3 linked regions of the Canis lupus familiaris genome follow. The protein of the gene in region 3 interacts with the protein of the main gene of each other region in a pairwise test. Links are inferred from orthologs where the notes say so. Each region holds a gene or a part of one and is shown on either strand. Other genes may lie near its edges. The genes, in order: TGOLN2, MTF1 and AP1M1.

Evidence for each region.
Region 1: the proteins of AP1M1 (region 3) and TGOLN2 interact in a two-hybrid assay, tested with the Homo sapiens proteins (2 studies listed by BioGRID). The link is inferred for Canis lupus familiaris from reciprocal best matches to the Homo sapiens genes AP1M1 and TGOLN2.
Region 2: the proteins of AP1M1 (region 3) and MTF1 interact in binary tests that used the Homo sapiens proteins (3 or more experiments, as listed by UniProt). The two-hybrid records come from large-scale screens. The link is inferred for Canis lupus familiaris from reciprocal best matches to the Homo sapiens genes AP1M1 and MTF1.

Annotation. Positions count from the first base shown.
Region 1 is NC_049238.1:40,036,414-40,040,980, reverse strand, and holds the start of TGOLN2 (trans-Golgi network integral membrane protein 2), read left to right. Parts: upstream 1-1,598; 5' UTR 1,599-1,739; coding exon 1,740-1,785; intron 1,786-2,005; coding exon 2,006-3,195; intron 3,196-4,567. UniProt on the Homo sapiens protein: May be involved in regulating membrane traffic to and from trans-Golgi network.
Region 2 is NC_049236.1:4,785,647-4,789,477, reverse strand, and holds part of MTF1 (metal regulatory transcription factor 1), read right to left. Parts: intron 2,508-3,831; coding exon 2,444-2,507; intron 1,168-2,443; coding exon 740-1,167; 3' UTR 1-739. UniProt on the Homo sapiens protein: Zinc-dependent transcriptional regulator of cellular adaption to conditions of exposure to heavy metals. Binds to metal responsive elements (MRE) in promoters and activates the transcription of metallothionein genes like metallothionein-2/MT2A.
Region 3 is NC_049241.1:46,698,210-46,702,659, forward strand, and holds the start of AP1M1 (AP-1 complex subunit mu-1), read right to left. Parts: upstream 3,088-4,450; 5' UTR 2,963-3,087; coding exon 2,921-2,962; intron 1-2,920. UniProt on the Homo sapiens protein: Subunit of clathrin-associated adaptor protein complex 1 that plays a role in protein sorting in the trans-Golgi network (TGN) and endosomes.

The sequences.
Region 1 (4,567 bases), on a different chromosome or scaffold from region 3:
TGTAGTTTTCTGTCACACAAAGACTTATGTTCTGGACAACTCCCAGATCATTTGCTCCTAAATCTGGCTTTGCTCCAGACCCATCCTTTGCCATTTTCCTTATTCTCTGTTATCTAGCAATCTTGTTCTCATCTTTAGACTTCCACAAAATATTAGGCTCCCACCTGCTTCCAGGCCTTCGCACATGCTGAAGGGAGAACTCATCCTCTTCTCTTCAACTTCACCTGGGAGATATCTACACTCTTAAGTTAGGATCTATCATTTTTAAAACTACTCTCTACTAAGCACCTAACCTGGCAAATGATTATAAAACGATTTCAAGCAGCCATTAATGTATAAACATAACAGTACTTTAAACAGTATGATATGGGGATCCCTTGGTGGCTCAGCGGTTTAGCACCACCTCTGGCCCAGGGCATGATCCTGGAGACCCGGGATCAAGTCCCATATCAGGCTCCCTGCATGGACCTGCTTCTTCCTCTGCCTGTGTCTCAGCCTCTCTCTCTCTCTCTCTTTCGCTCTCTGTGTCTCTCATGAATAAATAAATAAAATCTTTTAAAAAAATAAAAAAAAAAACAGTATGATACAAAACTATTTACCCAATGATACAAATTTGGAGGAAAATGAATATGTATAGAAAAGAACAAAAAATACACCAATATAAGACGGAGGAAAAAATAAGTACATACGTAAGTGTTAAAAAAAAAAAAACACTAGAAAATAAAACACTACATAGAAACACAATAAACTAAGTGGTAACTGTAGAATGGTAGGGAGCAAGAACTTTCTCATGTATAGCTTTTTTTTACTGAACCATTAGAATGTACCAAACCAAATATATTAAAATGTTTGCAAGACAGGGACGCCTGGGTGGCTCAGCAATTGAGCGTCTGCCTTCAGCTCAGGGCTCAGGGCGTGATCCTGGGTTGAGGGATTGAGTCCCCATCGCGCTACCTGTGAGGAGCCTGCTTCTCCCTCTACCTATGTCTCTGCCCCCCTCTCTCTCTCTGTCTCTCGTGAACGAATAAAGTCTTTTTTCTTTTTTAATGTCTGCAAGGCAGAAAACACACTAAAACTTTAATAGTGATTATCCCGGAAGAATGGGACAAAGATTTTGTCTTCTATTTCTATAAATACGCTCACTAAATCTTCTATAATGACTGTGAAGAACTTTCATGACCAGAAAAAAGATGTACCTTTGGGGAGACCTCGGAGAGCAGTTTCCGCGGGGTCAGGAAAGAGAGGAACTGGACTGGGAAGGCTCCCGCTACAAAGGTGACGGGATCAGTTTCTGTTTCCAGATGGGAGAGACCTGAGCGCAACACGTTTGTGTGCTACGAGCAAAGAACCATGAGAAAAGAGAGGTTAGAAAGGTGAGCAGTCTGAAGCCCAGGCGCCGGGTCCCAGCGAGTGCAGTCCCCACGGGGCCATCCGCAGGCTAGGGAGCTCTGGCTCTGCCAAAATTGTCTCGGAAATACAAGGGCAAAGAAGGAAAAGGGGACTGACGCTCGTGGTGGACCTGGGAAAGGAAGAAGGTGTAAGCTGCCTGCGCCGAGGGACGCTGCGCCGGCCCCAGCGAGAGCAGAACCACCGTCCTCTCCCGCCCTTGCCGAGGCCCCTCCCCTCGCCTGGGCGTGCGGCGGAAGGACGAGCGCAGGAAGGGGCGGGGCTATGAGCGCCCAGAGTGCGCGCGCGGATGTCGCGAGAGCAGTAGAGAGCGGAAGAGTAGTAAGTGCAGGATGCGGTTCCTGATTGCGTTGGCCCTGCTGAGCCTCGCAGTGGCGGGTAAGACCCCACCCCCAATAATCCTACTATCATCCCTAGGTCCACCGTCCTCACCGCGGCCGGGTCGCTCTCTGAACCCGCTTCTTCCCTGCCGGAGCCACCCCTCCGCTTGCCATCACCCACCTCCCCCGTTTGCCTGTTGCCTCGGTCTCTTCTAGCTCTGAGGGCTCCCTTCTCCCGGATTTCCTCTCTTCAGAGCGAACTGGTTTCTCTATTTCAGTGGCCCCAACAGGAGAGCCTAGCGAGCTGCAGCCACAGCCCGGAGACAACGGCCCTAGCAAGAAGCCCAAGCTTGAGGCCACAGGAGTCGACCCTGACAAGCCCAAGCCTGAAGCCACAGGAGAGGACCCTGACAAGAAGCCCAAGCTTGAGGCCACAGGAGTCGACCCTGACAAGCCCAAGCCTGAAGCCACAGGAGAGGACCCTGACAAGAAGCCCAAGCTTGAGGCCACAGGAGTCGACCCTGACAAGCCCAAGCCTGAAGCCACAGGAGAGGACCCTGACAAGAAGCCCAAGCTTGAGGCCACAGGAGTCGACCCTGACAAGCCCAAGCCTGAAGCCACAGGAGAGGACCCTGACAAGAAGCCCAAGCTTGAGGCCACAGGAGTCGACCCTGACAAGCCCAAGCCTGAAGCCACAGGAGAGGACCCTGACAAGAAGCCCAAGCTTGAGGCCACAGGAGTCGACCCTGACAAGCCCAAACCTGAAGCCACAGGAGAGGACCCTGACAAGAAGCCCAAGCCTGAGGCCACAGGAAACGACCCTGACAAGCCCAAGCCACAGCTCACCAGAGATGACTCTGACAAGATCCCCAAGCCTCAGGCCATGGGAGACAACCCTGACAAGAAGCCCAAGCCACACTCTATGGGAGACGACCCTGACGATGAGAAGCCCAAGCCACAGGCCACAGGAGATGGCACTAGCAAGGTGAAGTCCCAGATGCAGTCCTTGAATGACCACTCCAACAAGCTGGTCTCTAACCCCTCTTCTGATAACAAGAAGCCCACCAAGCCTCACTTAAACATACCAGCCGACAAAGATCCCACTCTGAATGATTATAAAAATGAATCTGAGGAGAGAGTATTACTGGACTCTGACCCCACTTCACAGCAGGAGGGAGAAGGCAAGTCTATAGAGCTTACCGAAGATGTGGAACCCAAGAAGGCTGAGGAAGGGGATACGGAGCCTGAAGAAGGTTCACCACTCCAAGGAGAGAAAGAAATGCCTGGCCTTGCCTCCAGTGAGAACCGTGAAGGGACACTTTTGGATTCTGTGGGTAGGCAGAATGATGACCTTTATAAGGACAGTCTTGGAAGTGCTAGTGCAGAAAGCAGCCACTTCTTTGCTTATCTGGTGACTGCAGCCATTCTTGTTGCTGTCCTCTATATTGCCTATCACAATAAACGGAAGGTAAGTCAAGAACTGTCTTGAGGAATGAGATTTCCTCCACCTTGAAAGCTTGGTGTGTGGGCCAATATCTGTCATTCATCTGCCTGTGAGCACTGGAGATTTCAAGTCAAACTTCAGTTTTTCCTCAGATTCTGCTAGGTCTCTTTACTCTCATTTTATAAATCATTTTCTTTCATGTCCGATTCTTTTGAGTGCCCTCTGCTGCTGTGTTAGGTGCCAAATGAGGACATTTTTATGATCTGACCTGAATTGGGGTCTTCTCCCACAATCTTAAATTTAGATCATTTTACTGCCTCCGAGAATCTGAGTACCTGACAGTTTGTAAGTAGAGTACTTATCTTCCTATTTCCACTCTGAAGATAGTGCATCATTTCTAGTTTCCTTTCCCACACTTTTATCTTGCATCTGCAATGGCAGAAAGAGTGGTTACATAGTCTTTGACATCAGCAGCAGAGAGCCCAGGGACTATCTTCTACAATCGGTTGAGTTTCCGATTAGAAGAATGACCAAAAATTGCATGGATACAATCGTCTTTTAATGTTACAGCAGATTTGGTGTGGAGTAATATCTGTGTTGCTTAGCAACCACTCTGATGACAAATGATTGCATTTCTTATTGAGCTCTAAGAATTTATTTTTTTAAAGATTTTATTTATTCATGAGAGACACACACAGAGAGGCAGAGATACAGGCAAAGGGAAAAGCAGGCTCCATCCCTGGACTCCAGGATCACGCCCCAGGGTGAAGGCAGCACTAAACCGCTAAGCCACCCAGGGATCCCGCTAGCTCTAAGAATTTAGTAGTTTCTATAGCCTGGTTAAAATTGGAGAGTTCAGTTTATGATATCAGTATGCCTATGGCTATGAGGAATGAGGGAAGATATTTAGTAAAAATAGTTCTTTATTCTACATCCAAGTGCTCGTCCCACAGAGTAATCTTAGATGTAAAAGCAGTAAGGTTAAAATGAAGCAAGGTGTGGGGAGGAAAAGTACATTTGCAGATAAGAAATAATTATTGCTTGTGAGAGAAAAGGAATGTCTGATCCTAGAGCTGTGTGGGGCACAGCTGGCAGATCTTTGTGCTCTTGAGTAAATCATCCAGACTCCCACAGGCTAACGGCCAGAATAGTCTTCCTTCATCTGTCATTTCCTGTTTAGCAGTATAAAAGATTCTGATGTAACTGGAGGCCCCGTCCTCCTGAAAACTGTTATAATTTAAAGATGCCTCTTGTGAGTTTGCGGCTCTTTCACTGCCGGGGTCATTAACAAATGTAGTACCAGGGCAGCCCGGGTGGCTCAGCAGTTTAACACCGTCTTCAGCCCAGGGTGTGATCCTGGAGACCAGGATTGAGTCACACGTTGGGCTCCCTGCAT
Region 2 (3,831 bases), on a different chromosome or scaffold from region 3:
ATCAACAGCAGTCAACAGCTCGCCTAGGGCCCCCCACGCCCCCCCCAGAACCTGATCGTCCACACAGCCTCAGGCCAGGCTTTCAGCTACCCACTGTGCTGCAGCTGGCTGCAGGATGACACCTGCCAGAGTCCCAGAGTCCCCCTGAGCTCCACCGACAGCAAGAGCAAACAACAAAACCACCTCACCCAATCCCTGTCCAGCTCACAGCTGTCTGGCCTGCCTTTGCCACAGCCCCCTCTGGTGGAGTGAGGGTCTGGCCTCCCGTGCCCGCTTCCGCCTCAGCCTTAGACTCAAAAGTCGCACAGGGCAGAGGGACAGCCGACCCACTGAGCTCTGCTGCCCAAACCACGAAGACCCCAGTGCAAGTGATGGGCAGCATCAGACTGATGGAATCCACACCCTTTCTTTTCGAATGTTTATGCATACGAGTAACCTTAATTTCCAAGTTCACATGACAATAAGCAAAAGTGACATACAGTGCAGCCAAACAGTTCATTTATAACTTAGCTTTTTTTGTTTTTTTTTTTTGTTGGTTTTTTTTTTTTTTCTCCAAAGATCAGTTCCTTAAAATGGATGCTCCTGGGATATGACTAAAGAAAATACGTCTGAAAGGTGAGGATTTCAAACAGTAGATTTCTTCATCCTTCGAATTGCTGACCCCCCTTGATGGCAGGCACCACACTTTCTGCTTCCCGCTCGGCCTCCTCTGCTGGAGGTGAGCGCAGGCGGCCCCCTTTCACTTAGAGAAGCTGGTCAGGCCCATCTCCTCCTCCCCCTGCAGTAGTGCTTCAATGGGAATCAGATTGGACGGGGTGTCCAGGCTCTGGAGGGACAAAAACTCTGACACATCCATGGCACTTAACGTTTCTGTCTGAGGGTCTGAAGGAGTCTCTGCTCGTCTGCTTTGCTCACAGGAAGAGGGTACAGCAGAGGAGGACGACAGGGGGCCAGGGGGCGAGGAAAAAGTCTGCGGTGGTAGCTTCAGGCTGGACCCATCAGGAGGCTGGGGGCCCGGCTCTGCAGGGGGTGGGGAAGAACAGCCCTTCCTCCTGCCTGCTGCCCGCTCCTTGGCAGAGTCCCGGCACGCGCACTGACACTGACACGCCTCCTCTTGTTTGATGATGATCACAGGAACACTGAGGCCAATCTGCTGTACAGAGCTCCCTGCGAGAGAGGCAAGAGACACTGCTCCTCAAGTAGCCGCAGGCAGGGGCGTGAGGGATGGGGGTACAGACTAGGGGAGTGCCGAGTGCCTCGGAGGCAGGAATGGTGACAAGGAAGGATGCCATGCTCCAGGCTTTGTGTTGCCTGACACTCCCCATCCCCTCCACGCCAAAGTCCCTTGTCCTTAGAGAGCCAGGCACACCATCTAGATGACCCTGTATTTCCAGCTTCGTTTCCAGCCTTTCTGCCCTGTCCCCTCCATGCCAGCCACAGCATATGTGTCCCTTTCCCTGACATGTGTTCTTCATACCTCTGGGCCTATGAGCTCTTGCTTCTGCCTAAACTCCCCAGACAGGGCTGTTTCTCCGGAGAACTTCCTCTTCTTTTCTCTGAAGACCCAGCTCATCCCCTCCTCTCCTGATGCTGCTTCCAGCAGGCTAACACCTAGAGCTGCCCATGGGCCCATGAGCTTCCCAACCATATGCATGGAGCTACTGCCTCCCTTCGCACCTCTCTCCACACAGGGTAGGACTTGGGGCTTGTGTCTCGCCTGCCTGAGACCAAGCTCCTCCAGAGCCTCATGCTCCCATCCCCAGGCTCAGACACATGGTTGGTGGGGGGAATCCCCCTGTACACGGTCAGCCTTGCGCTCATGCACATTCTCCTGCTCTTCTGTGCGTGTGTGTGTGCTCTGCATAGTCCCACTGTGAAATCAGACAGGCTTTGTGTGTCTCAAAAAAAAGTTAGAGACCAGAGAACAGGAGAACAGAAGAACAGAGTGGGAATCAGGAGACCTGAGAACTAGTGCTTTGTCTCTGCCACAAACTCACTGACAATTTTGGACGAGTCATTTAAGTCTTCAGGGCCCCATTTCTTAATCTATAAAATAGTTTGAAAAAAAAAAAAAAAGGCACATTTCACTCTATGAGTCTCTGACCCACATGCTATTTCTTCATTACTGTAGTTAGAAAAGAGTCCAAAGAATTAACAGCTGCTCTCTTTGGCATTAACTGCGAGTCAAACTTTCTTCTGGTTACATTTAAAAGCTATATCTGAGAAGAAAAGAACCATTGCTCCTTAAGGAATGTTAAATATAGCATTTATGCCGTAGATACGCTAACTTCCAATAGTTGTGAAGATGTGAAATACTCTAATAAATAAACATTACAATCTGACAAATTAGAGTTTTTTAAATCTGGGGCAAAGCAACCATTAACTGTGCCCTAAGGGGCCCAGAGAGTTCACTTTCTTTGAAGGCTAACACACAATTACATACCTGTGCTACTGGCTACTGGTACTGCAGTGGTAAAGAACACCTTCTCAACTTTAGATGCTTGCTGCTGGGGGAAAAAAAGAGGAATCACAATTTATAGCCACTCAAGTATGGCAGATCTCCAAAGACCTGAAGCCTGCCCGATTGTACTAGTCAAGAGGACAGAAAACCCTCAGTGTTCAAGGATTTTTGCACTGAGTGATGTTTTGTTTGTGCTCTGACATGAGGTCACTGCACTGTTTGACATTCAGTGCTGACGATGCAGCCAGTTTTGTCTCCTACTACTTGGCTGTCTCCCAGCTGCCCATTCCGGTAGGTTCTGACTGCTCAAAGGCTCCACCAAGGTTGCCTTGCTCAAGCTGTGGTCTTCTCCCAGGGATCCCCAGGGCTAGCTTCCCTAAAAGCCCTCCAGTGCTGCCACACCCCAATACTTCCACAAGGCTGGAAAGTTTTTCGGTCTCTTCAAGGATCCAGTGGCACACTAAGGACTGGCTAAGACTTCCTCTCACTGGCACAAGAGTCCCGTGAAGGCCCCAAGCGGTGTGCTTTAAGCCACACAGGGTAGTAGCTCCAGGGTGGGCCCTGGACTCAAGTCCACACCCTGCCACCTCTTAGTTGTAAAGGCCAGGCAAATGATTTGACTTCTTCAGAGTTTTAGTGTCCTCATTGGTAAAACGGGGATGATAACCAAAGGACCTCCTAGAGGGCCCCTGTGAGGGTGGATGAGAGGATGCCTGTAGAACCTGCGGCATGCGGTGAGCCTCTTGCCCTATTTATGTTATTATGAGGTGGACCGTAGCGTCAGGCCCAGAGATCATCCTTTTTCACTGTGGTAACACCTCCTGTTACACTGGCTACAGAATTTCTGCTTTCTTCAAGTATTTTCTTAAAAAGGCTTTGTCTTTTATCCCTTTAAGAGGGAGAAAAGTCATCTCTAGGCTGAGTGTAGAAAGAATATGAAAGCTTCTGGCTAAGTTACAGGAGCTGACATGACAAAATAATGGTGGAGAAATGAGACCCCTATTTAAATACACAAAATGAATTATATGGAAAAGGAAAGACACCTGCTCCATGCAGCTCCCCAGGGCAGGTCCAAGAAACAATTATTAAAATGACACAGAGCAGATTGGATTAGAACACCAAAAAGGCCTTTCCAGTGACTCTATCTAAACATGAAACCAGGTGGCCTCCAGAGGTGGCTGGCACCTGATCTATGGAACCTAAATGCTTTATTTAGCCCTAAACTACTTTCCAGTTTGACAGCGTCATACACTCACCCAGACATTCTCCTACTTAATATGTTCTTTTCTCCACCTATATCATCCTCATACCTCAAGGCTCACCTGACCTGTATGGCCACCCAACAAGCCTCGACTCTGCACCTCTCATCT
Region 3 (4,450 bases):
CACTATAATCTCTATCTTCTTTTATGGTCTGTTCCCCCTACCAGAGTCGAACACTCAAAGAACAGGGACCACTTCCAACTTGTTGAGGGCTATGTCCCAGCATCCACAACAGAGCCTGACTCCAGGGGGTGCTCAGGGAATGTTTGTGGAGTGAACGTGGTGGTGAGGAGAAAAAGGCCAGGATAATACCCAGGTCTCCAATGAGGGCAGGCACGTGGACAGTGGCGTCATTCACTGAGATGAGGAGAGCAGGCCTGGGGTGGCAGCGAGTTCATTTTGGGAAATGCCAGATTTGTGGCAGCTGTGGGACCTCCGAGATGTCCCTGAGAACAATGGATCTCCAGGTGAGTACTGTGGACTACGGTACAAACTTGAGTTCCCTGCACACTGACTTGAATCAAAACCCACCCAAGGAGAGGGACAGTGAGGGTGGGACCCATAGGCCTAAGCCAGAGGAGCCAACATCCCAGGGGAGGGGCCAGGAGACGGTGACAGAAAGGGGCAAAACGAGAGAGAGCAGTGCCTCAGGAGGCCAATGGAAGCCCACTGAGGAGTGTGGCAGTGGTGTCAGAAGCTGCAGAGAAACAAGAAAGATAAGGGCAAAGTGTCGGTGGAGGGCTTTCTAGCAGCTCAACATGGCCATGCTGGTTTCCTTGGTGATCCAAGGCACTGGCTGGCTGGCTTGTGGTCATGAATTTCTTACTGTGCTACTACCTTACCTTTTATTAAATATAGTCTGCACAAAAGGTCCTTTCAAAACCTGAGGTCCATGGGGAATGGAGTAATAAATAGCACGATGGTTGCTGGGGATGAGAGGCAAGCCCATGGCTGCCCTGGGAGCTTCCCAAAAGGCAGGTCTGCTCATGCTCCTCCCAGGCTACAATCTCCTCCTTTCCAGGATCACACTGGTCCTCTCTGTTTCTCATACCCATGGGGACATTCTCAACCACCCATGGCCCTCCTGGTGTCACCCTCTAGGCTCCAGCATTACCCAGGTTTTCACCTGCCAGCCCCAGCAGGCTGCTCTGATCCCTCGGGCCAACTGCGATGCCTCCTGGCCCACCTAATACCTGGTCTGCTCCCAGCTCTGGCGAACTCCCTCCTCCAGGAAGACTTCTGTAACTGCTTTTCATCTGCAGCCAAAACTGAGGCTGGCAACTGTATTACCTGGGGCTGTGTCCATGCCCCTGCAATCTACCTAGATCTGATCATTTGGATCTGCCAGCTTCCATGTGTCTCCCCTACTAGACCTTGAGGTCCTCAATGGGGTTAACAAGGACCGTGGGCCATGCGAGGTGCTAGCCTGTCTCAAACGTTCGCTCAGAGAGTTTGTCCAATAACACCATAACCAGCCTGTGCGAGCAGTGAGGAAAACAAGGCTCAGAGAGGAAAAGGTACTTGCCTGAGGTCACACAACTAAGCAGCAGAGATGGGTTTTGAACTCAGCCCTACCTGCACAGTCACAGTGAGGTAGTCAGCACTGGGCTTGGTGCATGCAAGGTGCTCATGAAATGTTTGCTCAAGGAATGAGAGATTGAGATAAGGCAGCCTTTGGGAACTCTGCGGACACGGTGGCCAGGGTGGAAGGAAGAACAGGAGTTCCAGGCACTCTGGAATGCTGCACACACTCAGCCCCTGGGGTGCCCTGTGTCTTCCCTTGCCTGAGGGCTGGGAAAGGGAGCCCAGCACTGGGCCTCACTAGCTGTTGACTTTGGGTGGCATCCAGAGCAGGCGACCCACTCAAGGAACTCTCGGAAAGTGCTAGGGTGGGGTACCCTGGGAGTGGGGGCAGGAAGGGATAGCCACTTCACGTCTTCACTCCCCACTGCTTCTGAGCTAACTCCTGCCTGCTCCGCGAGGCCCAACGTCCACCTCTCTCCCAGGGATCTGTGCAGGACTTGTTAGCGTTGTTGCTGCCGTTCCTGTGACTCCCAGATCAAGAGGCCAATACTCACTTGCCTTCTAGCCAGGACGGACTCGGGGAAAGGCAGCAGCCCACTTGGAAAGGCTCTGAGACCCCCTCCTTTAAGAAGTTTTCCCAGAGTCCCCTGGGAAAGGCACCTGGGTCCTAGTCGTGTGCAACTCTTCCTTCAGATCTGTCACTGCCTCCCGGAAGCCCTCCCTGACCCCTGGTCCAGGCATAGTCTCCTATTACAACCTCACTGCTCTAGTAGGGCAACTGACATTGATTTGTGCTTTCTGAGATCAGTGTCCCTTTCTCTCACCAGGCTGCGAGCTCCACGACGACTCCCAATTTTGCTCACCAAAGGTGGCCCAAGACTAAGCACCCCGTGCAGCACTTAGTAGGTGCTCCCCAAATATCAGCTGACTCCTAGACCCGCCATTCTATGGCTGGGGTGACCTTGGGCAGGTTGCCTGCCTGTGCCTCAGCTTCCCCCTCTGTAAAATGGCCCTCCCACCACCCACTTCACTTAACCCTGTAACTCAGTGTCACACCAAACGTTAAGAAATTCTAGCCGGGACTGCCAAGATGAAATCGCCGGGTAAAGAGGGCGGGGCTGGCCCGAGGGCGCGCTGTCCCCGACACGCCTCGCCACCTCCGGCCAAGGGTCGCACAGCCCCTGAGCGCCAGTCCTGGCTTCCCGGACGGCTGCGGCCCGTCCCTGCCGCCGCCTCGGGTTTCCCGATGCCCCTACGAGGCGGGAGCACCCGGCGCACAGTGGAGGGGGGAGGGGGTCATGCAGCTGTGTTACCTGGCGACAGGGCGCGGCTCGCGGATCGAAGCCCCCGCCTTGTTACTTAGCAACAGGGTGGGGCCCTCAGGTGAGGCCCAGCAGCCTCTTTGCCTAAGACTAGGGTGGGTCCCATTGGCCAGTTACCTAGCAACAGGGTGGGTCCCCCCAGGGGGCGAGGCCCCACCGGTTGCCTGGCAACGGGAAGGGTGGGGAGCCATATGTACCTTGCCCTTTAGGTCCAGCACGTAGACGGCGCTGGCGGACATGACGGCTGCGGGAAGCCTCGGCAGCTGCCGAGGGCGGCGGCGACGGCGGGGACTGCCGGGCGTTGAGCAAGGCCGGGCGCGCCCCGCGACAGTTCGCCTCCACTTCCGGTCCGGGGAGCCGCGCGCGGACCGTTATGTCCGGTCGGGGAGGGGCTGCCGGAAAGGCGCAGGCGCGAGGCGGAGTGCGCGCAGGCGCGATACGCCCGATGTGACCTTATTTCCCGCTCCGGCGTCAAGCGTCCCGGAAGTAAGGCCCAGAGGGGCGGGGCCGAGCTTGGCCGAGCGGAGCCGGGCGGGGCCGACCGAAGCGGCGCACTCGCTGGCTGCCAGGCCCGCTGGAAACCCTGCCCCGCCTCCGGGGTCCCAGGGAGGTGACGCACCGGTTGTGGAACTCACCTTGGGCCCAGCCCCATGACACTCAGAGTCCGGTGGGGGACTCTAGGAACAAATAAAGTTACCAGTTGTGACAGCGCCTTACGGGGGAAGGGGAAGGTGGCGGTCACTCGGAGAGAAGCCCAACCCTGAATGGCAGTCGGGCCTTATCGACAGTCACTACCTGTCACCTGTCAGTGTCAACCCTCGTCAGTGCCTGTTGATTGCCTGGAATGACCTGAAAACCACGCCCCACCGAATCCTAGAGAAAAGCACTTCTTTCTGTAGTGACTGCAGTGGGTGATGCCAACTGTGTCCCCTGCTGAAGCAGCGGAGTATCTCATTGCTTTTATGAATACTCGGGCTGTGGGAAATGCCTCCACGTTGTCCCAGGGAACCAGCACAATGCTCTGGGGACCCCAACCCTGCAGCATCAGTCCCATTTACTCAGGCTGCCTGCCTCCGACTTTTAACCTTCCCCTCCTACCTCCTTTGGGGTTTTGAAATATGGCTTTTGATTATATACACACTCTGCTTTGGATAGAGATGAAGTGCAAGAAAATCCAGAGGAGAAAACGGGAATATTTTAAGACTACTGGGCTCCACGAAACATCTGGGAGAGTTTTGACAATGTCTTGTACTGCACTCTCTTATGCCTAGCCTCATGGTTTGCCCAAATTATTTCAATGTTGTAGGAAAACAGGTCTTTTGAAAATTACAAAATTATACACCTCACTGAAAACTAAGGAAATGCCAAAAAGCCTAAGACAAAAAGAAAAACCACCCTGGAGAGGTGACCCTCTCATTATGGAGCATTTCCTTTCAGGCTTGCTCTAGGCAATATTTAGATGTTTAAAATCAGTACTGAGGGGGGCAGGGCTAGGAGTACAAATTGGACAAAAGTCTTTTGGAGGGAGGAAGACTCCCAAGCACCAAAAGCACCATCGCGGTAAACCGTTTACACAAAATGACTCGTATCCTCCTTTTTCCATGTGTGTGTGTGGGGAATTCAAATCACATCTGAATGTCATCCTTGGCGTTTACACTTAATGTGTAAGCCAGATTTGACCTCTGCAGCATCTCAGAAAAGACCAGACCTGCTGTGGTAGACCAGGG